4 linked regions of the Notamacropus eugenii genome follow. The protein of the gene in region 1 binds, or shares a complex with, the protein of each later gene. Links are inferred from orthologs where the notes say so. Each region holds a gene or a part of one and is shown in the gene's direction. Other genes may lie near its edges. The genes, in order: TCTN1, TMEM107, MKS1 and TMEM216.

Region 1 (6,920 bases):
GTTTCAAGTTTTCTACAATCATTTCCATAAGTCTTAAATTTTCTCCCTCTCCCTCTTCCTTCCCTCCCCAAGACAGCATGCAATCTTATATAGGTTCTACACATACATTCTTATTAACCACATTTTCACATTAGTCATGTTGCATAAAAAGAATTAAAATGAATGGGAGAAACCATGAGAGAAACCAAACCAAACCAAAACATAATACAAGAGAAAATAGTCTGCTTCATTCTGTGTTCCGATTCCATAGTTCTTTCTCTGGATGTGGATGGCATTTTGCCTCAAGAGTCCTTTGGGAATGTTTTAGGTCCTTGCATTGCTGCGAAGGGCTAAGTCTATCAGAAACAGTCCTCGCACACTGTCTGTTACTGTGTACAATGTTCTCCTGGTTCTGCTTATTTCACTCGGCATCAGTTCATATAAATCCTTCCAGGCCTCTCTGAAGTCCTCCTGTTTATCATTTCTCATAGCACAATAGCATTTCATTACATTCATATATCACAACTTGTTCAGCCATTCCCCAACTGATGGACATCCCCTTGATTTCCAGTTCTTGGCCACCACAAAGAGAGCTGCTGTAAATATTTTTGTACATGTGGGACTTTTCCCCAGTCTTATGATCTCTTTGGGATACAGTCCTAGAAGTGATATTGCTGGGTCAAAGGGTATGCACATCTTTGTAGCCCTTTGGGCATTGTTCCAAATTGCTCTCCAGAATGGCTGGATCAGCTCACAGCTCCACCAACGAGTCAGGGTTCCAATTTTCCCACGTTTATCATCTTCCTGTTCTGTCATGTTATCCAATCTTATAGGTGTGATGTGGTACCTCAGAGTTGTTTTGATTTGCATTTGTCTAATCAGTAGTGATTTAGATTAACTTTTGTCTTGCCACGGGACTTCTATGACCCTGGAAGAGAGAACGAGGCTGAGGGCTTTGTGCAACTCTGCTTCACTTCAGTCCAGTTCATACAGAAGTCAAGGCAATACCCATGATGTCATTGTATCCTTTGAAAACAAAGGACAACCAGCAATATAGCTACATAACATAATGTGTGAATTCATGTAGCCATATAAACACCAGCTGTTATTATGATAATATGTATCTGTTTGTTGTTATTCCCTGAATACTTTTAGCTTCATGAAAGTAGGACCTCTATCTTATCTAAAATCTATTCATCCTCTAATGGTGGGTGCCACTGTGTCTAATGCACTGCACCTAGAGGGGGGGGGGGTAAGATCTGAATTCAAATCCTTCCTGAGCCACTTAGGAGCTGTGGGCAATCCCTGTTTGCCTCAGTTTCCTTATCTGTAAAATGGGTATGACAGCAGCACTCCTCTCACAGGGTTGTTGTGAGGACTCAGTGAGTTAACACATGTAAAATGGTCTGCAAAGCTTAAAGGGCAACCTTGATGGTAGCTATCATTATAACAATGAAGATTCACTTTGAGTTTTGTCTCTCCAGCATCTAGCAAGGCAGGGGTTGGCACACTGTCTGCTGCTTGCTTGAGAGAGTTCTGCATACAGCAGGGACTTCACAGATGCTCTGGTTGCTCTCTGTGAGCTGGGGTCTCACTGTCTCCCTTTGCACACAGCAGGGGCTTAATAGATGCTCTGGCATCAGTTGCTGTATCTGCAGGAGGGGGTGTCCCCTTCCTCAGTCAGTCGCCCTCCCTCCCCACGCACAGTGTGCTCTGGGTGCTCACAGCAGGCGCCTAATAAGTGTGGCTGTCAGCCTGGACCGTGCTGGGCTGGGCCTCAGGGCAGGTTGCACCTCCCACTCTGGGGGCCTCGGGACCAGAGTCAGGAGGGACAGAGAAGTGGCTGAGCTCGGGGTGAGCCCAGGAGGATGAGGAGCAGCAGCCTGAGCCCGCAGCTCAGGCCACAGACTGGCCAGGCGGGAGACGCGTGTTGTCTGGGCAACGGCCGCGTGGCATCACGGGAGGAGCAGAGAGGAGGGATGAGGAAGGGGGCACGGGAGGGGAGGGGCTAAACCATCCCCAACAAGGGGCGAGGATTGACGTCAGGGACGTGGGGCCTCGGGTTCAGGCAATGGGGAAGATGACGTCAGGAGGAGTGAGCCGCCTCTGAGAACGCGAGGAGACTTAGTTGGGGGCGCAGAGCGAGGGCGGTCTAGGGAGGGGGCTGGCGGCAGGGGAGCCGAACAGCGTTTACGCTGGGGAGGAGATTGACGTCGGAGGTGCCAAGCAAGTCTAGGGAAGGGGCGGAGATTGACGTCAGCGCAGCCTAGCGAGGTTAGGGGACGGGAAAGGGATGACGTCAGGGGCTCAGAATAAAGACAGGAAGATGACGTCAGGGGTTTAGGAGTGGGAAGCCCCTTGGGGCAGAGCTAAAGGAGCTTGGTCTAATCCATGCTCTGCTTACTCCATGTGTCACTCTACTGCTCTGAGCCTGTTCCCTCAATATCTTGACAAAACCGTATTAGTCTCCACCTTGCTCATATTTTACCCCAAAATCATATTTCTGTTATTTCACTGCAATGCTTCTCCTGCCATTTATGATGATGCTAGCCTGCTTCTCCTAGAGCTGAAAGTGACCTTAAAGATGCAACCTCATTTTGTGCATAAGTAAGGCCGGAGAAGTCATATTCTCTGGGTCACATAGCAGCAGATCGGGGATTCAATCTGAGGGTCCTTCCCAGCAGTCTTTTCTCCAGCAGCAGAACAAGCCCAGGTCTCCTGACTCCAAGACCAGTGCTCTTCCCTCTCTATCCCACTCTCTCCTCCCCTCAATCCTTTTCTCCCTGCTTTCATCCTCCTTCCCTTAACCAAGCTCTCTTGCCTCTCCTGACCATCACCTTCCTTTTCCAAGAGTGCTGTGTCCCCAGGCCTTTGTCCAGCTTCGTAGGATAGCTCTGCTCCTTTGATGTCATCCCCTCCCAGACACTAAACCTTCCTTCCTCTGCACCCCTTACTCATCTTCCTCTAATTCCCTAAGCTGTGCTCTGAACCCTGAATGTCAATGACCTTCATTTCCCTAAATTTACTAACCCCCCTGACACACTCCTCCTCTTATGTTCTGCATCAGTTTCCTCCCCTTCCCTGGGCTCTCTCTGTACCCCTCCCCCCCCACTTATCTTCCAGTTCTCTAGCCCAGTTCTCCACCCCTGATTCCAGTGATTTTCCATTCCCCAGGTGTCCACGACACCATCTGCTTCCATTCCCTAGCTTTACTTTGGTGCCACTGTCTGTACTCTGGACATTAGTCCCCACATCTTCCCTAGGTCACTGCCTGACATCAACCTCTTCAGGTTCCCTAGGCCCACTCTGTGCCTAGGGAGACTGTGCCAGTCTCTCAACCTCTCCCTTAGCCTTGGCACTATCAGACTCTAAGAGTTCCATAGACTTGTTCTGTGCCTATGATGTCATGCTCTTCCTTTCCTTAACTTTCCTTGGAGTCCCTGTTGTCATCCCTTTCCAATTCCCTGGACTTACTTTATGTCCCTGACATTATTCCCCCTCTGCTTCCCTAGGTCTGCTCTTTGACATCAGTCTCTACCAGTTCCCTGCCTTTAGTCTGCACTGCTGATGTCATCAGCATCACTGGGGTCTTCTCTACTTCCCCAATCTGGTTCTGAACTGCTGATGTCAGTCTCCTCTATCCCTCAGCAGGCTCTGAGAACCCAGATGTCATCCCCATTCAGTTCCCTAGACTTTACTCTGCACCCCTGATGTTAACTCCTTTCAGCTCCTTACACATGCTGTCTGCTGCTCCTGACATTAATCTCCAGGGGTAAAATTTCAGCCTGTGCTGGGGTGGGGGACTCTAAAGCCTTGATGTCTTCTATTTTTTATTCTGAGCCGCCCTTGTCAGGCCTTCCAGTTCCCTAGATTTGCTCTGTGCCCTTAACATTAAACTACCTCTCGTTCCGCGTGCTGGGGATACGGGGGAGGGGGGAAGGAGGACAGGGGAGTGTGTGTGTGTGTGTGTGCGTGTGTGTGCGCTTACTCGGTCCTAACATCGATCTTCCTCTCTTTCTCCGGGGCAGGAGGATGGTGGTGAGGGGGGAGGGAGGAGAGGGCTCTGAGCCCCCGACGCCATCCCCTTCCAGTTCCCTAGACGTGCTCTGTGCCCTTTATTCTCTCCCCTTTCCCGGGATAGGTGTGTGTGTTTGGGGGAGGTGGTGGCGGGGTCATGGGGGTGGGGGAGGTTCTAAGCCCCTGACGTCACATTTCAGTCTCTATTCTGAGCACCTGACGTTATGCCTTCCAATTCCCTAGATTTTCTCTGTCTCCCTAACATTAATCTTTCTGTCCCCAGGCTGGGGTACGGTGGGGGGAGGGTACGGAGGGCTCTGAGCCCCTGACGTCATCCCCTTCCACTCCCCTCTCCTCGCTAGGCTGCGCTGACGTCAATCTCCGCCCCTTTTTAAACGTTGTTCGGCTCCCCCGCCGCCATCCCCCTGCCTAGACTCCCCTCGCTCTGCGCCCGGGACTGCGGCAACCTCGCGTCCTCAGAGGTGCCTCCCTTCTCCTGACATCATCCTCCCCCTCCCCAGGCCGGAACCCAGGCTTAGCCCCGCCCCGCCATTGCCACTCTTCCCAGCCTGCCCCGGCCTCTCCCTTTCTCCTGCCCGCCTCCCGTGATGCCCCGCGCTCGGCTGCTGCTGTTGCCCAGACAACGCACGTTTCCGGCGTGGCGGTGGCTCAGTGGCCTGAGATGGGGGGGTGGTGCCTCCTGTTGCTGCTGCTCGTCGTCCTGGGCCTGGGGGCAGCGCAGGTTCCAGACTCCGAACCCCCACCTTGGGCCCCCGCAGAGACTCCTCAGGGCCCCGATGCTGGGCCCATCCCGGACCCCGACCCCGGCCCCACCCCGGGCTCCAGGGACAACAGGCCCGAGACCGGGGTCCGCGAGGCCGCCGGGGCCACTTCTCAGTCGCCCCTGGCCCCAGCGGAGGACATGCGGCTTGCTCTGAGGCCCAGCCCGGTCACGAATGGTGGGTACTGAGGAGGCAGGGGAGGACACAGACCTGGAGGCCTGCAGCAACATTTGCTAAGTGCCTGCTGTGTGAACAGAGTGCACTCTGTGTGGGGGAGGGGGGGAGACTGGTGCGGAGGAGGGGGTGAGGTCCCAGCGGGCAGCTGATGCCAGAGCATCTCTTAAGCCCCAACCTCGTGTAGAGGAAGTACCGGGTCTGTGGAAAGAAAAGGTGACACCCTAGCTCATAGATACAGCAGCCGGAGCATCTGTTAAGTCCCTGCTGTATGCAGAGCTCTCCCAATCAAGCGACAAACTGTGTGCCAGACCCTGCCTGTTGTTGCGTTTGTCCTTCGTTCTGGAAGAGGTCCATGACATCAAGATGACGACGTGACTTGCAGTTGACTCTGATCTGAGTGAGTGAGGGCTGTGCAAGATCACCAGCCTCACCTTCTCCTCCAGTGGCTTGATATTCATCAGGATGACAGGAGATGGCTGGAGAAACAAAAAGCAAAGTGAATTTTAGGAGTGCATCTTACTTGTAATAACATTGATGTTTCGCTTTAAAGTTTGCAGACCATTTTATATGTGTTAACTCATATAGTCTTCATACCAGCCCTGTGAGAGAAGTGCTGCGTTATACCCCTTTTACAGATAAGGAAACTGAAGCAAACAGGGATTAAATGACTTGTCCATAACTACTAAGTGTCTGAGGAAGGATTTAAATTCAGGTCTTCCTGATTCTAGGTCCCAGTGCATTATACACTGTGGCACCCATCATTAGAGGACATATGTATTTTAGGTGAAATACAAGTTCTGCCTTCATGAAGTGAGAAGTATATTAAGAAATAACAAGGAACAGATAGGATAATATCATAATAGCTGGCCCTTAAATGTTTGCATTGTATTGTGTTCGTCCTTCATTGCCGAAGAAGACAGGACAGGATAGGCCAGGACAGGACAGGAAAGGAAAGGAGCCAGTAGAACCCAAGTCATCTGGGCATCTAGCTGAGATTCTATCTGGCCCACTGGTGAATACAAGCATTACAAATGCTTAGGCTCCTTAAGAGTCAACCCAATATGGCAAATGCATTGTATACAATTGTAAACAACAGCTCTATTGTTTGTCCTTCATTTACCAAAAGGACCAGTGACATCTTGACTCATGTGAACTGCATTTCAGTGAGTTAGCTTCAGTCTTTCCAAGTCATCCAAGTCCAGTAGCAAGACAAAAGTCATGACAACTGGCAATGGCCCTAAATGTGGTGGATGACCTTGGTGTCATTTTGTCTAAGCTCTAAATTGTTCTTATCTACCTTTTCTGCTGGGGAAAGCCTTCACATACTTGAGGTAGATGTCTCCATAACTCACTGATGGGTTTTGAGGCCTATCAGTTATCCTTAGCCTGGTTTAGCCTGTCTGCTGGATGGTTTACTCCATCATGGCAAGCTCTCACGCCAGAGGTGCTAGTCCTCCATGAACACCCCATACACCTCAGATAGCTGTATAGTGTATATTGAAGTTTGCAAAGCACTTTGATTATGTGGTATATGTTATACGTGTTATCTTGCTTGATCCTCACCACAATCTTGTGCTATTATAATCTGGAAACTGAGGCAAACAGAGGTTATGTCGTGACTTGCCCAGGTTTCATAGAGCTGGTGTCTTAGGTTAGATTTGAACTCAGGTCTTCCTTGACTGCAGGTCAGAAATTGTATCTACAGTGTCAGCTAGCTACATATAAGGGGCTTAATATGGTGAACAGAGTGCATGCTGTGTTTGGAGACAGCAGGGCCTGGGCTTGACTGTTCTCTTAGACACTGCCTGTGTCACTGAACAAGCCACTGAACCCCTCTGGGACTTAGTTACTTCTTTTGAAAAATGAAAAAGTTGGACTCAGTGACCCCTAAGGTGCCTTTCATCTCTAAATCAGTGATCCTACTTATTGAATGCTTACTTTATGCAGAATTCTGTGTCAAGTACA
Region 2 (7,117 bases), on another chromosome or scaffold:
TGGAAAAGGGTACCTTAGTAGACACAGGCACACTTCAAGACAATTACAAAGTCATAACCCATTCTGATTAGTATTTCCCTTTTCATCTCATTGGTCAGGCATTTCAAGGTTCACAGTCTATCTGAAAACACCTAAACCCCAACCCCACATGGTTTCCTGCTTACAGCTCTCATTTCCACATTTCAATCCCTTCCCTTTCATCTTCATTTTCTTTATACTTTATTTAATAAATGCTTCTAGTTTCCTTCTTTTGAGGTGTAAGCTCAGTTCTCATGTGAACGCCCTTGGGCAGGTAAAAGTGAGGGCTTCTTGATTTCGAGCTCTCATGAGGCCCCCCAGGGAACAGCTGAGAATTGAGGTATGAGACTCGAGCTTTCTTGTTTTTCCACCTCTTCTCAGTGGAAACTTGCTGGGGAAAGCATCTCACCCTTGAGATTGGTCTGTGGTCTGAGCACACCCTTTTGTTAATTAGCTAAGGGGATGAGAGCATGCATGGTATCCATGAGCGAACTATGCAGCGGGGAGAGTTTAAATGGGGACAGGAAAGCCTGGGGGTGGGGTTCCTTTCTCCTCGGGAAGAACTCGCCCTGCATGCTGACATGTAACTAAGATCCTGAATAAAGCTTACAACTTCTGTTTGACCCTGGAAGTCTCTTCTCTCGATACGTTTATCTGGCTGGCCACCGAAGACCTGGAGATAGGTAAGATGACCCGGGCAGCCCACGGCAATTAGGCTGGACATCCTCCTAGTTTGTCTGCATCAGATGTTATGATCACCATAGCATGAGAAAAGAATTTTCTCAATTGCTAAGAGAATTGACAAAAGCTGTGAGTTGAACATTGGCCCAGGATATCGATGAGAAAGAGTCACATTATCTAAGACAGTTATCTGGGTTAATGGACCCCATCCTTGGAGAACCACAACTGGCCAGTTTTTGATACACTGGACAAAGGCCTTCTCAGAACAAAAGAAGAAGAGTCTGCTTTTAGATATGTTGATTAACAGGTGGCCAACATCCCCCACTGCCCTTCCACTACAATCAGTTTTGCCATCAGTATAACCTCTTAGGTTTCATGTAATTTCTATGGAAACAAAATTCAATCATCCCTTACAGTTCTATTATGGAAGACAAAAATTGGAAGGAGAAGGTCCTCCTATTGATGAGTGACTACACAAATTGGGGTATATGAATGTATGGAATACTATTGTGCCATAAAAATAGTGAAATGAATGATTTCAGAGTAAACTGGGAAGACCTCTCTAAACTGATAATTAGTGAAGTGAGCAGAACTGTTGAGGTCTAGGGCTTCTGGAACCCTGAAATTCAAGGGCAAACAACTCTAGAGTCCTGCCTCAAATGAATTAGACTCAAGCCTTCTTTCAGCTAGAAATAAGGCTTATTAGAACATGGTCTGGGTGGGCAAGATTTTAAGAATCTGCCCTATTGTGACACTTGTATTATCAAGAGGGCCACACTGAATATGAACATTGACAAAACGTAAAGAATATGAGACTTTTGTATTGATAATGCAAGTGGGGCAGATGGGTATAGGCTCTAGAAGCCCCCTTGAACTTTCCTTGAGTCTTCCAACTTGCTCTAGTGTTTGCCTGAGGTCATAAACCTTCCATTATTACTATGCCCAAATCTGTTACCCTTAAACTAGCCCAGCCTTCCATAGTCTCCTACCTCCAAGTAGTCTTCAGCTACTTCCCACACTTAATCCTATTCTCCTAGTTCCTGGTGTTTGACCTCTAATTACCCCAGCCTACTGACCAGGCCATTCCCATAAAGACCCTCTGTAAACCCCTCCTCTAGTCACCCTAGACTACTTGGCCACCTCTAAATCCCCCCCACAGCCTTTTTGTATATAAGATCCATCTTGACTCCATCAAGGTGCATTCTGGCCCTCATCACAAGGGCTCAGATTCTATCTGACCCACAGCCGCACAAATGCTCAGATTCAACACAAGCATCACAAATGCTCAGATTCCTTAAGAATCTACCCAATATGGTGGATCTTTAATAAACTTTGTTTTTCTTTGGCTGAAAGAAGGTTTGGGTTGAATTCACTCAGGCAGGACCCAGCGTGTTGCTATTTCAGGGTCTCAGAACCCCTAAGCCTCAACAGGGACAGATTCTTAAGGAATATGAGCAATTTAATGGGGGGCAAGATGCACCTTATACACAGAAAGACTGTGGGAAGGATCTAAGAGAGACCAAGTAGTCTGGGGTGACTGGGAGGTAATGATGTGGTACAGACTCTGGGAACCTCCTTGAATCTTCCCACTTTATCTGGCCTTTCATACTCATATCTGTTCCCCTTAATCTAGCCGACCCTCAGTGTTACCCAAGGTAACATAGTTTGTTACCTCTGGATGGCCCCACCTGCTTCCTACCCTGGCCCTCCATTGTCTGATAGCTCCCAATTGCCTCCAGCTGTTTCCCATCCTGGATTATATCACTAGTTATCCTAGTCCCATCAAGATCCTCCTTAGACCCTCCTCCCAGACTACTAGACCACCTCTAGATCTTTCCCATGGTCTTTCTATATGTAAATTCCATCTCACCTCCATGGAAGTGCTCGGATTCAATCCAGCTCAGACTCCGTCTAGTTGAGATTGTATCTGGTCCGCTTGTTAATATAGTGTTCCAGATGCTTAGGCTCTTTAAAAGTCAACCCAATATGGCGAATTAAAGATTAAAGAATTAATAAACTTTGTTTTACTTTGGCTTAAAAAAGGCTTGACTTGAATTCATCTGAGCAGGACCTATCATGTTGGTATTTTGGGGTACGCAGCACCCCGAACCTCAGCAGTAACAGAGAAAGACCTGGAAGGGCTGAGTGCCCCAGGCACATACCAGGGATGTGGGCCACCTGAAAAAGCCCCAGGGCTTTTCCTTTAGAGGGTCCAGATCCCAAAGACATGATCTTCTCCTTTTATGTATTCAGATTCCATCCCCATCAGAACCAGAGAATAATTTATGTATTGTTAATACCAGTAAGGGAAAACAACATTGAAAAACTTTAGAACTCTGATTACTACAAAGATAAACCACCAATCCCAAAGAATGAAGATAAAATAAGACACTCACCTCCTGACAGAGGGATGATGAACTTAAAATGGCATTAAAAAGCCATACATTTAAATGTGTGAAATTTGTTTCGCCAGACTATGTACATATATATTGAACAATTTGTTTTTTGGTCCGATTGTACGATTTTTTAAGTTGCCCAAGGTGGGTGAGTACTGGGAAGGTCAGATGAATGAAACAACAACAAAGGTGTCCTGGTTTTTTTTGTTTTTGTTTTTTTAAAAAGGAAAAGGCAATCTTAAAAAGATCGTAAGCTCCTCTAGATCTGGTACTGTTTTCATTTTTTGTATTCGCACAGCTAGCGTTCAGCACTTTTAGCAAAGTACTTAGCGCCCATTCATTCATTCATTCATTCATTCATTCATTCATTCATAACGTCATCACCTATTAGAAGGCAAATTCCTTAAAGCAGGGGACGTCTCGTCTTTTGCTTCCCGAATTTCCAGCTCTGAACTCTGCCAGATACTTGGGGAAAGCGTAATATTCCTTCCTTCGGCACTCTTTAAACAAACCCCAGAACGAGACCCCCTGCTAGGATTCTGGGGTAGGTGTAGGTCAGGCGGTTCCTAGCCCTTCGGGAACTGAGTAGGAAGAGGGCAGTAACCACGGCATGTAAATGAATTAGGGTGACAAGGGTGTAAAGAGAGAGGGAACGTGGGGAGAAGGACTGGAAACGGGCTCGGCAGCTCCAGGGGAAGATGCTATGGAGGGGGGAGCCCTATGGCTATTTACAGGATAAATTCTAAAAGGACAAGTTTGGGGGGGAGGTCAGGCACCCTTGTTTCCAGGGAAGAATCTGCCAAGGGTGGGGAATCTGCGGCCTAGATAATAAAAGGATTTGTCAGTCCAAAGGCCGCACCCAGGGACCTGGAGGGCCTCGAGGTCGCAGGATCTCCAATCCCGCAAGCGAAGGCACGAATTCTGCGCTAAGGCCGGCGGTTTGCTGCAAGCTACGGGAGGGTCCCTTTAAATTCAATCCCTCTCAGTGCATTGCTACTTCTCACGAGATTTCCTGAGTAGTTTAGCCAACCGTCATGGTTAAAAAAAAAATAATGCCCTGGTTGTCCGTGGCAACTGAGAGGCGGCGGCGAGGTGCGGAAGGAATCGTGGATCTACGGCCGCCGACCCATGTTCTCGGAAAGCATGGGGCGGATCACTGGGCTGGTGCCCTCTCGTTTTCTGACGTTGCTAGCTCATCTGGTAATCGTCGTCACCATCTTCTGGACGCGGGTAACCTAACTGCCATCCCAGCCTTTTCCCTTCGCTTTCCCGGGGCCCCCTGTCTCCGGCCCAGGGTTTGAGCGGGTGACGCAAGTCGCCCGTGCCGGTGATCATCGCCTGAGCTCCCGCTTTCCCGGCCTGCGCCTGCGCTTGGGACTCCTCTTCCTTTACATCCCCTAGCTTCTCCTGCGCCTGCGCCTGCAACTCGTAATCCTTTCTTTACAGAAAGGTTCCCGCCCCCCCCAACTTTTACCCCCTTAATGAGTTACTCTTTCTGCCCTCCCCAAGCGCAGGCCGGAGCATCCCGAGCCGGTCCTACGTAGGGGTCAGGAAATCTAGCTTTAGGGTTTAGTCTTTACGCTGTGTGACTTTAGGGACTGCGGGTCCATGGACCTCTGTGTCCTCCCCAGCATGTTTTATGAACCGGTGGTTTCTTAAGGCCCACTCTGTAGCTTCCACGCTCCGTGGGAAGAAGGGGAAGGGACAAACACTGGCTGCCCTGCAGCTACCGTTTCTGTTCCATCCTGGCTTAAAAACCCTGTTTTACTCCTGCTCTTCTTTCCTAGGACATCAACGTCCAGGCCAGTCTGCCTCCCGATTTCACCTCGGAGGAGTATGAGGAGGAGGACCTTAAGTGAGCCACCCAGGGGATGGGCGGGCCAGTGGGGGAGGCTTTCCCCTCCTCCACTTTGGGGTGGGGTGGAGGAGTCAAGCCATCCTGGAGAGGGAGAAGGCCCCTGGTTGCGAAGGGTAGACTCCAGGACCGCTTTATCCCTACATAGGATGGTCACTGCTCTCTCCATTACCCTGGGCCTCTTCCTGATAGAACTAGCAGGTTTCTTTTCAGGCGTGTCCATGTTCAACTCCACCCAGAGCCTCTTCTGTATCCTTTCCACCTACTCTTTCCCCCCAGTGGCCAGTGGCGTGGCTCCCCAAATGGAAGAGTGCTAGGCCTCGGGGGTTGGGGGGGCGAAGTGTGGATCTCTGAAGTTTAACTTGAGCTTGGCGCAAGATGGAGCCCCTCTTAACATGGTGGTGACATAAGCAGGGGTCGGGGAGACGAGGAAGGAAAGAGAATTGAACTCCGCTTCCTAACCTGGCTTAATTTGCTGGCAGAGTAAGCGCAGGTTCCCTTCCCTCCTCGGCCGAGGACGGGTCCTGCCTGGGTACCACCCCCCCTTCTCCCAAGCCTGCTGGGAAATGTAGTTCCATTGTTTTTCCCTGACTCTCCTGAAGCCATCGCGCTGCACTGCTGCGCAGCGGTGTCTTTGGCCTTCTTCGTCTTCGAGGGTTGGGAGTGCTACGTCTATTGGTACATCTTCGCCTTCTGCAGGTGCGGCACGAGGGGCCACCTATCCAAGGTTTCCGAGAGGCTGCCCCCGAGGAGGCAACGCTTTCCTGCTTTCTGGGTTTAAGGGCTGGTCCTGACTAGGGTGTCAGTGCTGGGACTGGGCCGTCTTTGTTACGAGAAAGTCTTTGATCACGCCTCCCTCCTCTTGCAGTGTTCTCCCAGCTTCCACTGAAGTAATATTGGTCATCGCTGTCTTCGTGTTAAAGAAAAAATCTTTCTGAACCACTTCCCACAAACGTGGGGCAGAAGACCGAGAAGGCTTTGAAGTCAGCCCTCAGTCCTTGGAAAAATAACTGGGAAGACTGCCAGCGACAGGGTTTGGGGGACTGTTGGCAGTGTTCTTATCCCCCTGAGTTTTCGCACATTGACATTGTATATAATATTTTATAATAAAACCCCACTTTTGTACCATAACTAAAGCTGGTGACACCAGTTGCAGGGGACATTCGATGTTGGCCATACACAGGGGAAGGGAAGACACAGCAGAGAGGAGTGTGCCGCAAGGGGAGCCTGGTGTTTTCCCATCCATTCCAGGACCTTAAAGTTACTGGTGCCCCTTTTTCGATGATTACGGTCCAAATCCCAGGAAGGGGCGGGGCTGATTTATGCGAGTGACAATGTACGTCATTCCTGGGACAATATGCAAATGAGGACCAGGAGGCTTTGGAACCCTGAGTGAAGAAGCTAAGACTAGCTTCTTTAGATTGTTTGGGGTGCAGATGGATGGAATAGGCCTTCGTTATTTATGGGCTTGGGGAAAGACAGTGCCCAGTATCCATCCATTAGGTAAATCAGAGTTAGAATGTCCTGCATTTAGCTCCCAGAAAATATTCTTTATTGTTTGTAAGGCATGCCCTGAACGGATGTAATTTCTTCCCATCTGTGAAATGGGCAATACTTACTACCATCCGAGTGACGTGTCATGGTGCACAAACCGGGGACCCTTGAACACTTACTAGCTGTGTGATCTTGGAAAAGTCACTTAACATTTTTCATTCTCAATCTCATCTTTGTGTAAAATGGAGTTATTGTGAGGAAATGGGAAAATAGTACCCTGTCTCCACTAGGGAGTTCATTTTTATAGTATACCCCAACTCTTCTCTTTTTCCAACAGGATTAGGTGAGACATGCCAATCTAGAAGGTAAGAATAAGTGACACTCTCCTAGGAAAGATTAATGGTGACAAGAAAAAATGGAAGGGAGCTTAGCACCTTGAGCCAATGAGATATGATCACAAGAAGCCTCAGAGTCTGAATTTTGTTCCAGTTTTGTTCGTTACTATAGTAGTGGTTTCCACGTTTACAGAAGGAAGGCATTGGCTTAGATGAGCTCTCAGATACTTCCAGTTCTAAATTTCTGAATCTTAGGTTTGAAGTGAAAGTAAATATGATGAAAGATCAAGCATGGCATTATTCTATCCCTGAATATTACAAATACCTTTGGAAATAAA
Region 3 (7,063 bases), on another chromosome or scaffold:
TTTGGAGAACTAGAATGTTCTGGACAAAAAGGATCCCAGGACCAGGTAGATAAAAACCTTTCATTCAAAGAGCTGAATAGGCCTTTGGGCAAACCACCTTTGGCACCCCTACTATTTGCGCTTTGTTTGCATTAGGATATAAGAATTAGAGCTGGAAAAAAGTGTAGAGGCCCTCTAGTCCAGTCTCTGTATTTTTCATAACTGAGGAAATTAGGGTCCAGGGAAGTTAATTGATTTACCCAATGAAATATAGGTAGCAGAGCTGGAGTTTGAACCTGAGGTTCTCCGCTTCTAGATTGAGTATTCACTTCACTCTTCTACATTGTTTCCTTCCCGTTGGGTTTTGCCCAAGTTCGTCACTCATTACAAAATGTTTCAGCCATATTAGTGTTCACTGGTAACAGCAGGTAAAACGGAAAGAGAAATGCATTTGGATTTTGTAGGCCTAAATTCTAGCCCTGGAGCTACCTCTCTCAATTACAATATATCTTGGGAAGAGTACTGGATTGGAATCCGAGGGCCTGGGTTGAAATTCAGACCCCTCATTTTATGGGGATTTCCATACTGATCAGTTAACCTCTGCTTTGTTCTTTAATCACAGGTTACATTCCTGTAACTTTCCCCTATTATTATTCTCCTTTCATTACTCACCCTAATTACTTAGTACTTGTTTTGTGTGTAGCTTGTATTGACTCACCTGCTTATAGCCCCTTTCCATATCGCGGTCAAGATTTTCAAGGTAATCATGAAAAGAACTGGGAAAGAAGGAGATCAGTACCAAGTTCAAACTGATTGATAATCATTATCATTAAAATAATCATTAAATAATCTAAATATGCAATAATTATTAAAAATGACTTGGTACTGGTTAAAAAGTAGAAAGGTAGATCAGCAAAACAGATTAGGTAAGTAACATACAGAAATAAACTTACACGTAGCATAGCATTTGATAAGCCTGAAGGTTGCAGGTACTGGGGGAAGGCCTCACAAAAACTGTACAGCAACTTGGCAGAAATTTGTTTTAGATCAACATCTCATATTATATACCAAGATAAGCTCCAAATGAATACATGAACTAGATGTGAAAGATCACATCATAAACAAATTAGAAGAGCTAAGAAGAAATTACCTTTTGGATTGATGGATAGAAGAAGAGTTCATCACCAAATAAAAGACAGAATGGATCATACAAGATAAAATAGGCAATTTTGGTTGTAGAAAATTTAAAAGTTTTCGTGCAAGCAAAGTGAATGTAACAAAAATTATAAGGAAAATAGGTAACTGGGAATAGATCTTTGCAACAAGTTTCTCTGATAAAGGTCTCATATCCAAGATGTATAAGGAACACATTCAAATTTATTTGAATAAGAACCATTCTACAATAGATAAAATGATAAGAATGGAGAGTCGAAATCTATGTTATCAACAATCATATGAAAAAATGCTCTAAATCACTAATAATTACAGAAATGCAAATCAAAGCAACCTGGAAGCTCCAACTCATCTATCAGACTGACAAAAATGATAAAAATAGAAAATGATGTTGGAAAAGCTGTAGGAAAATAATATAATGCTAGCATTTACATAGTACTCACTATGTCAGGCACTCTGCTAAGTTCTTTACACTCTGCTAAACTCATTTGAGACTCACAACAACACGGTAAATAGGCGCTATTATCACTATTTTACAGATGAGGGAACTGAGACTGAGACTGACTTGCTCAGGGTCACATAGATAATAAGTATCTGAGGCAGTCTATCCCCCTGTGCCACTTAGTTGCCCCCAACAGGCACACTAAATGAGCTGTTGTTACAGCTATGAATTGCTGCAGCTTTTCTGAAAAACAATATGGAATTATTCCAGAAAGTTTTCAAACTCTGCATACCTTTTGATCCAGCTATACCACTACTAGGACTACACCCCAAAGAAATCAAAGAATGTGATAAAGGATCTGTACGTAGAAAAATATTTATAGTAACTCTTTTCGTGCTAGCCAAATATTGGAAATTAAGGGGATATCTTATTGAGGAATGGCTTAACAAATTATGGTATGTGAATGTAATAGAATAATATTATGCCACCATAATGAATTTTTCAGATGAAGTTGGGAAAACATCTATGAACTGATATAGAGGGAATTGAGTAGAAACAAAAGAACAAATTATTGTTCTCAATGATAATAGCATTGGAGAAAAAAAAGAACTTTGAAAAACTTGAGAATTCTGATCATGCATTGAGAAACCACAATTCCAAAAGAATGAAAACAAAACACAGCATTCACCTCCTGACAGAAAGGTAATGAACATAAATGCAGAAAGAGGTACACATTTTAAGACAGCTAACATGAGAATTTCTTTTGCTGAATTAAGCAGTTGCGTACAAAGGGATTCATTTTGGGGGGTTTAAAATTTTTTTTTTCTCATTTGGGAGTCAGTGGGAGCCACAGATTAATAAAAAAAAAGTTTCTTAATTGAAAAAAAAAATTTTAAAGATGAAAAACAAATAAAAAAGAAAGTGAATGCTGTGGGTGAATAATGACCAAGCTTGCTCCCTAGAATCTCCCTCCCTTCTTTTCAGAGGTTGATGGGACAATGGGTATGAAGGTACATATCTCAGGCTCTGTTGGTGGTTTGGTTATTTTTGCTGAACATTTTCCCCTTTTTTTATTGTTATGAAATGTTGACCTGAAAACTTGGTTAAAGAAAAGGCAACAGGCTAAATGCATACATTTTATGATTTAATTAATTAATTGATCAATCCCCTATTAAAGAAAATGGTAACATAATGCATTATGGAGCCAGAAAAATGTTCTGGCTACCCAGTACAGAAATCTTCTGACTTATATACATTTTGCCATGAGAAAGGAACTCTCTTAGTTGAACAAATCATAAATTCAGTAAGACAAGACAATTAATAGGGCAATGTCAGTTGAGCCTTGTGATTCCAGGCTGGGTAAACATATGCCTCAGTGACATAGGACAAGAAAGGAAATCCCACCACTAGTGAGTGGCAGGCTTCCTGTCCTAACCAGATATTCGAAATAGCTGACACAGGAAAGGGTAAACAAAGTTCAAATAGAAATTACGACCTAAGATGTCTGTATTTTCTTTACCATTAACATGCCATAACACAGTATATGTCTACAAATATTAAGATATGGAAAATGTCCCATTATTCAAGATAGTGTCTTAGGTTAAAGGTCTCCCAAAGAATGTTAAGTCAGCCTTGGCTGGCTTTTGTTGACATAGGAAGAGGCATTCTTTGAGTTTGCTTCAGAGAGAGCAAAGAGATTATTCCAAAATTTTATATTAAACATTATCAGAAATCAAGGTGACATAAAAATGAAATACAATTTTTAAAAAGAAAGTAAGCTCCTTGTGGGCAGAGTTCTTTATTTTTATTTTTCTGTATTTGTATCCACATCAAGATTAGCACAGCGCCAGTAGTGGCACCTAGTAATGTAGTGCTTAAAGCCCTTCACCCACATTATCTCATTTCATTCTCACAGCCACCCTAGGAAGCGGGTGTTTTTGTTATCTCCCTTTTTATAGATGAGAAAACGGAGGCAGCCAGAGGCTGAATGACTTGTCCAGGGTCACACAGCGGGTGAGGCAGCATTTGCACTCAGGTCTATCCCGACTCCAGGTCCGGTGACCTCGCTGCTTCATATTAGCTTAATAAATGTTTATTGATTGATCGCCTATAGCCGGTGGGTCCTAGGAAAAATCACTTGACCCCTGTCATTGTAATCCCTCGACTCCCTAAAATAACAGGGTTGGGTTGGATGCTCTAGCTGAGGGATTCTAAACTTTTTCATGTCCTGGACCCCTGGAGCAGCCTGGGGAAGCCAATGGACCCAGACGCTGCTCCCCAGAACCGTGAACTGCTCAGTTTTCCTTTGAGGTTAAACAAATCTGGGTCCCCTGAAATCTATCCGGGGCCTTTAGGGACAATCCCATTCTAGGCTCCGGATCGCACTCCCCAGCCGGCCCTCGGCACGCCCACCCAGAGCCAGGATTACGTCATCGTCCCGCCCTGCCCCGCGCCCTTCCGGCGTGCCCCGTTGCCAGGGGAACTAACTCAAGCGCGCGAGCGACGGTTGTCCCCGCGCAGGCGCAGTAAACGCGGCAGCCATGGCTGAGCCGGGCTGGAGTACCGATACCGGGGAGGCCGTGTATCGCTCCCGGGACCCCGTGCGCAACCTTCGGCTCCGGTACCGGCCTCCCCTCATCCCCGTCCCGTCCCGCTCCCCCTCTGCTTCTCCTCCGCTTGATCTCCGTCAGGGCAGGGCTCCGCGGGGTGACGTGAGGCCCCCTGCGCCGAGCCCCGGGTTCGAGCCCCGCGCTCCCCGCGGGTGCCTTTGGGCGAGTCCCTTGTCTCTCAGCCTCAGCGCCCTCTTTTGTGGCATGACTTGGTTGGGCTCCAGCCCCTGCGAGCCTGGGACGCGCCACCATCATCATCGTCAGTCCCGGCGATAATAGTGAATAGCTAAGGTCGTGTAGCGCTGAGCGCGGACCGTTTTTGTCTGATTGATCCTCCAGACAGCCGCCTGGCAGGGAGGCACTGCCAACGGGGAGCCTGAGGCAGAGGCTTTTGTTGGAAGTGACGTGCCCAGGGTCACGTGGCTAGTAAGACTGGATGGAGCCCCCAATCCGGCCCGTTATTGATCATCGTATATCGGTGAAACCAGGAGCTCGGGGCAGGGGAACCTTAGGGGAGCCCCTGGAGAGCGAGGCCCGTTTTCAGTTCTGTCTCCTGGTACGAAGGAGCACTGGATGAAGGGCTCATTGGATTGAATGTGAGAGGCCTTCCAGCTTTAAGCCCTAAGATAAAATCCATCTCCTCTTCCTCTGGGGGCGGGGGTGGGTGGGGAAGGAGTAAAGAGGCCCCCGAGGTAACGGCCAAGCCGAGTTTAGAATCCAGCTCTCGGAATCAGCGAGAGGCAGCGGAGCCTTCTGGATTCTGGAGACCTGGGTTCTAAATGGGGCCCTGCTCTATGACCTTCAACCGTCCTTCTCCTTTGGGCCGCTGTTTCCTTTGCAAAATGAGATGGGTGGTCTAAATATCAAGCCCCCTCTCCCTAAGGTTTTAGAGTTACGCGGTTCCCATCTCATATTCTTTGGGACCCACCGTATAGACATCCTTCTCTGAGACCTGAGTCATTCTCCCTCATAACCTTACCACAAGCACCCTTTCCACTCACAGACGTAATTTCTCTCAGGCCTCTCTGTTTCTACCACTGTTCTTGAATGTGCTGTTACTATTCCCCCCTCCCCCCAATCACAGACTTTGCTTTAACCCTGTTCTACCTCCTCCCTCCTCATACATTCCCACAAAGACTGGCCTGCCCTAGCTGCCCACTCCCATTTATGGTACTCTTGTACAACTCTGTGATATGGACGCCCCATCATTGTGTTGTCTATGCTAGGATTCTCTCTTTCTCTCTTTGTCAGAGTTCATCTCCAGAAAATCACTTCAGGCAGCCTCCTCCTCCGCCCGTCTTCTCCCCAACTGGCAAATGACACTATAGGCTTGGCCACCCTTAGCCCACCAACTTCTGCCAGTATGTATTCATATTATGATTTGATTGGTTGGGAATTTGGGGAGGGTACTGGGAGTAGGTGGTGTTTGAGGTCTGAGGATAACCATTCCTGTTCACCTTCCTCCTGCCTCCCAGGAAGCAGTAGTGACCTGAGTTCTTGAATTCTCTGCTCTTGCCCTGGACTTCTGGAGACTTTATACCTTTGAGGAGGTTGGCCTGCTCAGCTTCTCAAACAGGGTTTGAGGGAAAAGGAGAAGTACATTGTTTACCAAAAGAGTTCTGAATGGGTACTAGTTGTGGCCTAGGCACTTAATACATAATCTAGTTAGTCAGTCAGTAAACATTTATTAAGCATCAACTACTCTCTGCCAGTCATTGTGCTAAACACAGCAGATGCAAAAAAAACCAAGATAGCCCTATTCTCTAGGAACTCATAGTCTGATGGGAGACACTGTGCAAGCAACTTTGTACAGACAAGTTGCAAACAAGATAAGCTGGAGATAATCAACAGAGGGAAGGCTCTAGAATTCAGAGGGCTTGGGCAGGCTTCCTTTACAAAGTGGGATTTCAGTTGAGACTTGAAAGAAGCCAGGACACAGAGATGAGGAGGAAGAGAATTCTAGGCAGTGATATTGTCTAGAGTCAGGCAATGGAGTATCTTGTTAGGAACAGCAATGAGGCCTCAATCAAGGAGGCTGGATTGAAAAGTCTCTAAAGACAAAGGAGGGCAGGGTGTGAGGTGTAAGAAGATTGGAAAGGCGGCAGAGGGGCTGTTATGAAGAGATTTGAGCACAAAGGATCTAATATATCACAGTTCTAGACCTTGACTATCTGAGTACATGCCACTGTATAGGTCTAATTGATTCTGTAATGATATGTTGCCCATTTCTGAGAATCAGTTTTCTCTTCTACAAAATATCTGCCTTACAGAACAGTAAGGACCAAATGAGATAATGTATCTGTAGGTGTTGTACACAAGTAAGAAATTCTTAATGCTTTCGCATATATGTGACTTTTTTGAGTAAATTCAAGGTCCAGAAACTTTGCAAAGTGTGTTGGATTTGGAGTCAGAGAACTTGAGCTGAAATCATCTGCTGTTTACTGACCGTGTGACCTTGGACAAATCATTTATCCAAAATGAGAAAATTGGACTAGATTGCCCTAAGGTCCTGCCTAATTATGAACCTCTAGTCTTTTGAACTAGATACAGCCTTTAGCACGCTTACTCTGGAGCAGTGTTTTGGGGACTTGGGAGAATCACCCTTGTGGAAGTGGACAGCCTTCTTTTTTGTCCCTAGCTGGAACTTAAGATAGATTTTCCTACAGAAACATTGTTTAGAATGATGGTTAAATGTGGTTACATTATTGGTTAGATAGATTTTGTGTAATGAAGAGAATCTTAACTGCTACTTTTAACTTTTCTGTAGGAAAGTGAGTTCCGATTTCCAAATAACTGACATAAAGTTTATTAGCAATTGGGAGCTGCCTATGAAATTCACCCTTTTGAATCAGGTGTACAT
Region 4 (7,476 bases), on another chromosome or scaffold:
GTAGGGGGGTCTGTGTGCAGACATGGTGGGGATGGAATGTCAGGGCCAGAGAAGAGCAAGAGGAACGAGAGAGAGAAATGACAGGAAAGTGAAGTGGAAACCCTCTCATGAGGCATTTGGAACTCCAGACCGAGATTTGTATTTTATCCTAGAGGGAGTGGAAACCTTGGGGGATTTTTGAGGAGAGGAGTGACATGGTCAGATCCGTGTTTTAGCAACTTGTTTTGGCAGCTTTGGGGAGGACCAATTGCAGAGGAAAGAGACTAGAAGTGTGAGGTCCATTGATGTCTTGCAAGAGCCAGGTTAGAAGCTGTGGGCATGCAGAGATGGGTGCTGGGAGCTTCAGGATGATGGAGAGAGAGCAATCATGCTTTGGGAACCTAGCTGGCAGGAAGAAGTCTGGGGGAGAATGGAGTGACCTGGCTGCCTTTTGGAATGGAGGAAATGGAATAGTGAGGCTTATTTTGAACTTGTTAGCACAGTACCCAGCATATAGTGAGCATTCAGGAAATGCTTCTCCACTCATTCCAATTCGGTTTTAGATGCATACAGGATATCCAGAGGAATTAGTAGCATGGGACAGGATGCAGGAGAGAGATTTGGGCTGAATTTAAAGATTGGGAGTCAATCATTGATGACATTGGAACATGTAAGAGCTGATGAGATCACCAAGGAAGGGAAGGGAGAGGAGAAAAACAGGCCCAGAACACAACTTTCATGAGGAGGGGATTGATAGATGGTGCAGTGGATACAGCACTGTCCCTGGAGTCAGAAGGAGTCCACTAAGTTCAAATCTGGCCTCTGACAGTTACTAGCTGTGTGACCCTAGGCAAGTCATTTTACCCTAATTGCCTCTCCCACCCCACTGAAAAAGAAAAAAACATTTCCCAAGAGTGATCAAGGGTGAAAATGAAAGGACAACAAACAGACGAAAATATTTGCCACTGTCGTAGAGGAGATCAAACACAGAATTTACAGTGAAGAGGGATTTCTTATAATGAAGTCTTCCACATGCTCTAGTTTATGGATGACACCATAATGGTCACATGAAGGCCCATAACATGGCAGGGCCTCCTAGAAGAGATCCATAGTGACAAAAAAAGTTTGATGTAACCATCCACACAGGAAAAAGCAAGTGGATAAAGACTGCCTATTGTGATAGGCCGTCATGTGGACAATCTACAGAGTCCATCCATTATTATATACATATACGTGTGAATATATATGTGTATGTATATATGTACCTGTGTGTGTGTGCATATGTGTATGATGGTGCAGACTGATTTGGGCTCAGAACTGAATAGAAGGACCTCCAGAAAATAGCAGAGTTTTGTTAAGGACTTCCGTCATCTCCCAGAAACAAACACCCATCTTCTAATTCTTTCTTTTTAGAAATGTACTCTATTTAATGATATTTTTTTGTTTTTACATCATCCTTATTTCCAAAGAAATCACCTCTCATTAAACAGAGATTTAAAAAGGAGGAAAAGAGCAGTTCAACCAAGCTTGCTCATGCAACATCAGGCCTGTTGGACAGACGGTGCCCACCATACATGGAATTGTGAGGGGAGCCCACCATCTTGTAGGGTGGAGAATCCTCCTGGGATGTCTCAACCGCGAGTCCCTCAAGAAGGCAAAAAAGACGTGGGGTGGGAGTGCGCTGGCTGGCGCAGCTAGCAGCTACAGGGCAGGCTTCCTCAGGGGCCTCCTGGCCAGGTGAGCCTGAGTAAGACTCGGGGGAGCTCCCTAATATGATGAGTTGCAGAGAGGGTCAGTCTGCATTGGCAGAGGCTTTTTCCTTTGTCTCAGAGGCTTGAGAGAAATGAAATGACTGGCCCAGGATGACCCTGCTAGCTACAGATCTGAGACAGAGTTTGAGCCTGGCTTCCTTAATTCCAGGCCCAGCTCTACATACCCTGGTCTGGGCTGGCTCATCAGAGAGGTAGTCTGAGGGGAAGGTGTGGATTGCCAAAACTCCAGCCCTCAGGAGAGGAGCAGAGCTCACAAGTAGGAAGCCAGCTCATGCTGGTGACGTGGCACTAAGCTGGCACAGCTCCTGGCCTTGTACTGTCTGCCCGGCAGGGGAGATAAGAGGATTTTCTGAGATCTTCGTGCTGAAGCCAAAATAGGTTCTGCTTTTATTTTGTAAAGCTCCTGAGCCGAGCTGTTTAATTCCGAGTACACCTGAGCCCTTGGCTACCAGGAGCATAGACCAAGATGAGAGGAGTAAACAGGCTGACCCTGTCCACACAGGAGTCCCAGGCCTGGACCTCATACATAGTGAATGCCTCTTCCTGGTAAGGGAAGCAATGAAGGGCTTGACAAAGCATTTATGTGTGGAAGGGCCATGCCCCATCATCCTTTCCCAGGAAAAAGAGAACTTGGTTAGTCTGTTAAGAAAATGTCCCCATCTGTAATCCCAGGGGAGCACAGGAGTTCCAATGGCTGGGTCCTGCTGCTTGGTTGTCTACGCTAACATCAGCGTGGTGAGCCCCGGGATTGGGAGCTATCAGCATGGCCAGGCTGCAATGGTCCAAGCTCCTGTACCAGTCAGTGGGAGGACTGGGCCTAAGAACATAATGGGTTGGTGCATGGGAAAGAGCTGGGCCATGTGGTGGTGCATCCTGTGTGGGGTCAGAAGTACAGACAGAGCAAGGGCCACATCTGAATGCTGGCTTTACCTTGGCTGCTTCTCTCCTTTAGAACCTGCGCTGGAAAAACTCCAAGCATTTTATTTGGACAGATGGTCTTCAAACCCTGTTTGTGTTTCAGAGACTGGGTAAGGACCACATCACCTTCCCCCAGCAGGTCCTTCATTCTAGAGTCAGCCAGTGGCATAAGTCCCATCACCCCTGCAGTGGTCCTTCCCCTTCCCACCCCTCACCTGGTGGTGCTGGGGAGTCTGATCCCACTATCTCCCATGTCATGTCCCCAGAGGAGCAGCTTGAAGGGGAGTACCCTTCAGGGCCCTTTTCCCATTCTTATCCCCAGCTGCTGTTCTCTATTGCTACTTCTACAAGAGGACAGCCATCCGCCTGGGTGATCCACGGTTCTACCAGGATTCTCTGTGGCTGCGCAAGGAATTCACCAGAGTGCGAAGCTGACCCCTCTGCACCAGCCAGACTGCGGGAACCCTGCCTGCTGCATCATTGGGGGCCCATGACCAGGGCAAGGCGGGCACATGTTCCCTATTACTCACCTGCATGCTAACTAAAGGTCTCCTGCGCAGCCTGCTGCCCACGACACAGCACGGCCCCTCTGTACCACTTCCCCTAGAGCCTGAGGGCCCATTGGCTCCCTTCCTGCAACCAGGAAGTTCCACCTAGGAGCCCTTATTAAGAGCCCCCTTTGGCTGCTCCCTCTCCCCCCACCGCAGGCCTGGGCATGCAGAGAATAACACTGGCACACTTAAGAGACTTGGGCTTGGAGGTTTTTATGCTCTACAGCCCTTTTGTACTTTTTTAAAATAGGTAATAAATGTATCCCTTTTGCCATAAATTTCCAAGGCCAGGCTGTTTCTGTTGGTGGTGATGCCTGGTTTCCTTCCCTTGGTGGCCTGCATATCCCCTTTCCCTATAGGTAGACCCGGCCTTTGAGAGGCCATTTCCTTTCTTAGCTCTTCCGTTTTCCTGAGATGAACATGAGCAGTTTGGATTCAATGAATTTTCAGCCTTCTCCAGCTGCCTTATTTGTTCCTAGACTAGATCCAGAGTCTGACAAATTGTTTCTGTGGTCAGCCCTAGGGCCATGTGGGAGTCTGGCATGGGCCTAAAACACAGGGAGGGGGCCTGGATTCAAGGCCTGGTCCTAGCGCTCATTACTTGTGTGACTGTGGGCAGCTTCTCAGAGCCTCAGTTTCTTCACCTGTAAAATGGTGGAAATGCTTTTCTGTAGGTCCTTACCTTGCATTGGTTTATCTTTTGTATACATTTACATATAAATGTTGTCTTATGGAAGAGATACAAAGAAAGTGAACAAGTCAGTCCCTGCCCTTCAGGGTTCAAGCCCTAACTCTACCTGCCAATCACCCAGGACACAGCCTCTACAGAGCAGAGTCCTTGGGAGGCAGTTCCAGAGAGAAGGCACTGGGAGGGGGAGGCCAGGACGGACTTATGCACTGAACCTGGGGTTTGAGACTTGAAGAAGTCAGGGAAGCTAGAAGAGGGAGGCAGGGATGGCATTCCAGGTATGGGGCACAGCTAGGGAAAAGGCATGGAAGAGGAAGAGAGCGCCTCTTGGGCAAGGAGCTGCAGGAAGTGTGTAGATTGTAAAGGCTGTGAAGGGCTTTAGATGCCAAGCACAGAATTTTCCATTTGGTCCCAGAGGTAGTAGGGGGCCACGGGCCGACGAGGATTTGGGGGAAGATGACTCCGGAGCTGGGAGAGGCAGGCTAGGAGGGTGTGCAGGATGTGCAGGAGAAGTGTGCACGGAGGTGCAGGGACGCACTCGCGGGAGAGGGAGAGGTTCAACAATTAGGGGGCTTTTTCTGGGGGCACGAGTGTGGGTTCCAGAGGGAGGGAGAAGTGGGGGTATGCGAGGGGGGTCTGAGAGGAGGGAGTGTCTGAGCCCTGCGCAGGAGGGCATCTTGGGGCTCGCTGCTGTCTGCCTCAGTAGCAGCCCCGTCCCCCAGGATGGTTGTGCGGGAGCACTGAAGAAAGCTGACGCCCGGAGGGGGCCCGCCCCGAGCCGCCCTCGGCCTCTCACGTGGGCGCCCCGGCAGGGCTCGCCTCCGCTTGCCCCGCCCTTCGCCAGGCGGAGGCCCCGCCCTTCGCCAGGCGGAGGCCCCGCCCCCAGAGGCCGCGCCCCCGCCAGGGCCCAGCGCCGCAGGCCTCGCGCATGCTCGGCGGCCGCCCCCACCGAGCTGGAGCGGCCGCCAGCTAGAGCGGCCCTTCCGGGCGGGCGCCGCCTCGCCCCGCCCCTCACTTCCGGCAGGCGCCGAGCTGGTCTCCGGGAGCCCAGGCGCCGCGCCAGCAGTTTCCATGGGGACTGAGTGGCGATGGCACCGCGAGGTGAGCTGCCCGAGGTGTGTGAGTCTCCGCGTTCGGGGACCCCCGCCCAGGCCTCGGTTTCCCCACGGGTCCACAGCGAGGAGTGCGCTGGCCGCGGCCGTGAACGCGGGCGAGCCGGGGCGGGCGGGGGCCGGCCGGGGCGGGAGGCGGGGGGGACGCGGCCCAGCCGCTCACCAACCTCGGGCCTCCCCCTCCAGACCGCCGGCTGTCGTCCATCTCCCTGGAGATCTTGCTCTTTCTCAATGGCTGGTACAGCGCCACCTACTTCCTGCTGGAGCTCTTCGTGTTCATGTACAAAGGTGAGGCGTGCGCCCCCCTCCCTGGCGCGAAGCCCCGCCCCTGACCCCCCAGAGCCCTGGGTGAACGTCGCCCCGCCCCTCGTCTGGCCCCGCCCCCAAGCAGCCCCGCCCGTCCGGCCCCGCCCCTCCCAAAGTGTTGCCTGGAGAGCCTGAAGGACCGGCGCCGACCCCCGGTTGTGCTGTGCCTGTCCAGCCGCACAGCAGGGGTGAGGTGTCAGACCGGCACCCCTCCCCCGCCGCCTGCTGCAGCCTCGTTCTGGCCCCCGCAGGTCTTCTGTTACCGTACCCAACAGCCAACCTAGTTCTGGACCTGATCATGCTCTTTCTTTACCTTGGCGTTGAAATCATCCGCCTCTTTTTTGGTAAGTGGCTGATCCCCGCACCTTAGCAGGGGACCGAAAGGGTCCTGGCCCCCTTCTGTGGCCCAGGGGAAGGTTACAGGGTTGGACAGTCCCTTTCCTTCCTCTGGACAGAGGAGGCCGGGGGGGCACGTGGTTCTCCCGGGGCCTTCCCCCTTGCGGTGGGCACTGGGTGTCAGGGGCATATGTCCTTGCTGTGATGGTCCCGAGTGCTCCTTTGGAGGAGGAGGGAGGAACCCAAAGTCCTAACTCTTCTAGGCCAAGTTTCCCATCACCACAGACCTGCATGACTTCTAAACCTGGACTTCCACCCATTTTGCAGCCTCCGTGGCTTTCCCTGCTCCAGCCTTGTAAGCTCAGGGCAGGCCACTGGAAGTGATCCCCAGGGCCTGTTTTGTGCCTGTCTTGACAGCTACAAAAGGGAACCTCTGTCAAAGGATGATGCCCCTTGGGATCAGCTTGGCCATGACCATTCCGTCAGCCATGATGGCTTCCTATTACCTCTTGCTGCAGACCTACATTCTGCGCCTTGAAGTTGTCATGAGCACCATTCTGCTCATTTTCTGTGGCTTAGAGCTGGTGCTTGAGTTGATCACGCTCACCACCTTCAACAGGTACTACTTCCTCAGCCTGGGCTCAGGCCTCCCCTCTAGGAGGGCCCTGTGTAGGGGAGACGGGGTGAGGCTGGATATGGGGCTGGGAGATCTTGGAGGCTGAGGTGCCAGCGGTGGATAGGTGAGGTTAGCTACTGCTCTTTGGTCTTTAACCTACTGTGGTCTCTTCTTGCCCATAGCATGGATTCGTATTGAAGTGGCCTAATTGAGCCCTGGTGACTCAACCCCCTGGTGCCACAGAGACACATGCTCTTGAGGAGGCCAGCCCTTTGACTTGGTCCCGGCAGTATCTTCTAGACCAGCCTACAGAATATGTTCTCCATCTCCTTCAGGATAGCAGAGAGCACACAGCCCTGTCCTGGGCCCTTGCACATGGTCCTTACTTGGCACTCCCTCTTGTCACAACCAGAGCACTGAGTTTGGATTGTCTAGGTCTCCGGGGCCCCCAGCTTGAGCTAGGCCCGTTGTGCGTGTGTCCCTGGAAGCACTGTGGACCTGCATTTCACAAGGGTGTTTTTCTTCCACTAACCCCAAACCCGGACCTCATCCCATTCGTTCATTGTAGGGGATGAGCTTCAGAAGGGACTAGGCAACAACACTCAATAGCTTGGGGTATCATTTTCTTACACTATGTCTTCGAACAAACACTATTTATTTACAATAAATATTTATTTTCTGTTGTGGGGGCTGCTTATGGCACTGTTCTTTGCACAAAGCCCAAGGACAGTACTAGGTCCCTGCTTCCCAGACCTCCCAAAAGCCTGCTAGTCTTTCCATCAAGCAGCAGCATCACAGCATCAGGCCTCCGTGAGGCTTTCTGACTGTCTTCCTTACAGTGCCTGCTGTGGCCTGGTTTGGGAACTCAGTCACCAGGAACCAAGGGCCTTCATAAAACCTCTGCTCTCTAGGCTGATGCTGTGGTGAGGTGGCAGGATCTTTTGGTAGACAGACTGGAAGCGTTAGCCTCTATTTAAAGATGAGAAAACAAAGGAAGAGGCTTGGGGGGAACAATGCCCAAATCTTCTGTTGACCATCACTTATACCTTATTGATCTGTCCCCCATTTGTTCTGCTGCACGCAGTCACATCTGTCTCGTGTTCCTCTTCAGAGATTAACTGCCAGCCCCCTCTTCCTTTCTTTACAGAATCTTGAAGCCTTCGGAGGCCATGAGACTTTTGGCAAGTCTTGTCCCTTC

The links.
Region 2: TCTN1 (region 1) and TMEM107 share a complex: the UniProt entries of both Homo sapiens proteins name them as parts of the tectonic-like complex. The link is inferred for Notamacropus eugenii from reciprocal best matches to the Homo sapiens genes TCTN1 and TMEM107.
Region 3: TCTN1 (region 1) and MKS1 share a complex: the UniProt entries of both Homo sapiens proteins name them as parts of the tectonic-like complex. The link is inferred for Notamacropus eugenii from reciprocal best matches to the Homo sapiens genes TCTN1 and MKS1.
Region 4: TCTN1 (region 1) and TMEM216 share a complex: the UniProt entries of both Homo sapiens proteins name them as parts of the tectonic-like complex. The link is inferred for Notamacropus eugenii from reciprocal best matches to the Homo sapiens genes TCTN1 and TMEM216.

Annotation. Positions count from the first base shown.
Region 1 is NC_092875.1:35,714,364-35,721,283, reverse strand, and holds the start of TCTN1 (tectonic-1), read left to right. Parts: upstream 1-3,911; 5' UTR 3,912-4,678; coding exon 4,679-4,955; intron 4,956-6,920. UniProt on the Homo sapiens protein: Component of the tectonic-like complex, a complex localized at the transition zone of primary cilia and acting as a barrier that prevents diffusion of transmembrane proteins between the cilia and plasma membranes.
Region 2 is NC_092873.1:77,718,736-77,725,852, forward strand, and holds the start of TMEM107 (transmembrane protein 107), read left to right. Parts: upstream 1-4,107; 5' UTR 4,108-4,223; coding exon 4,224-4,325; intron 4,326-4,882; coding exon 4,883-4,950; intron 4,951-5,098; coding exon 5,099-5,199; intron 5,200-5,552; coding exon 5,553-5,649; intron 5,650-5,818; coding exon 5,819-5,888; 3' UTR 5,889-7,117. UniProt on the Homo sapiens protein: Plays a role in cilia formation and embryonic patterning. Requires for normal Sonic hedgehog (Shh) signaling in the neural tube and acts in combination with GLI2 and GLI3 to pattern ventral and intermediate neuronal cell types.
Region 3 is NC_092873.1:370,734,134-370,741,196, reverse strand, and holds the start of MKS1 (tectonic-like complex member MKS1), read left to right. Parts: upstream 1-4,050; 5' UTR 4,051-4,134; coding exon 4,135-4,214; intron 4,215-5,454; coding exon 5,455-5,564; intron 5,565-5,678; exon of another isoform or gene 5,679-5,753; intron 5,754-7,063. UniProt on the Homo sapiens protein: Component of the tectonic-like complex, a complex localized at the transition zone of primary cilia and acting as a barrier that prevents diffusion of transmembrane proteins between the cilia and plasma membranes.
Region 4 is NC_092873.1:12,955,762-12,963,237, forward strand, and holds TMEM216 (transmembrane protein 216), read left to right. Parts: upstream 1-4,839; 5' UTR 4,840-4,996; coding exon 4,997-5,009; intron 5,010-5,206; coding exon 5,207-5,308; intron 5,309-5,577; coding exon 5,578-5,670; intron 5,671-6,079; coding exon 6,080-6,281; intron 6,282-6,460; coding exon 6,461-6,476; 3' UTR 6,477-6,961; downstream 6,962-7,476. Other genes in the region: TMEM138 (transmembrane protein 138), read left to right, coding at 2,704-2,779, 2,992-3,104. UniProt on the Homo sapiens protein: Part of the tectonic-like complex which is required for tissue-specific ciliogenesis and may regulate ciliary membrane composition.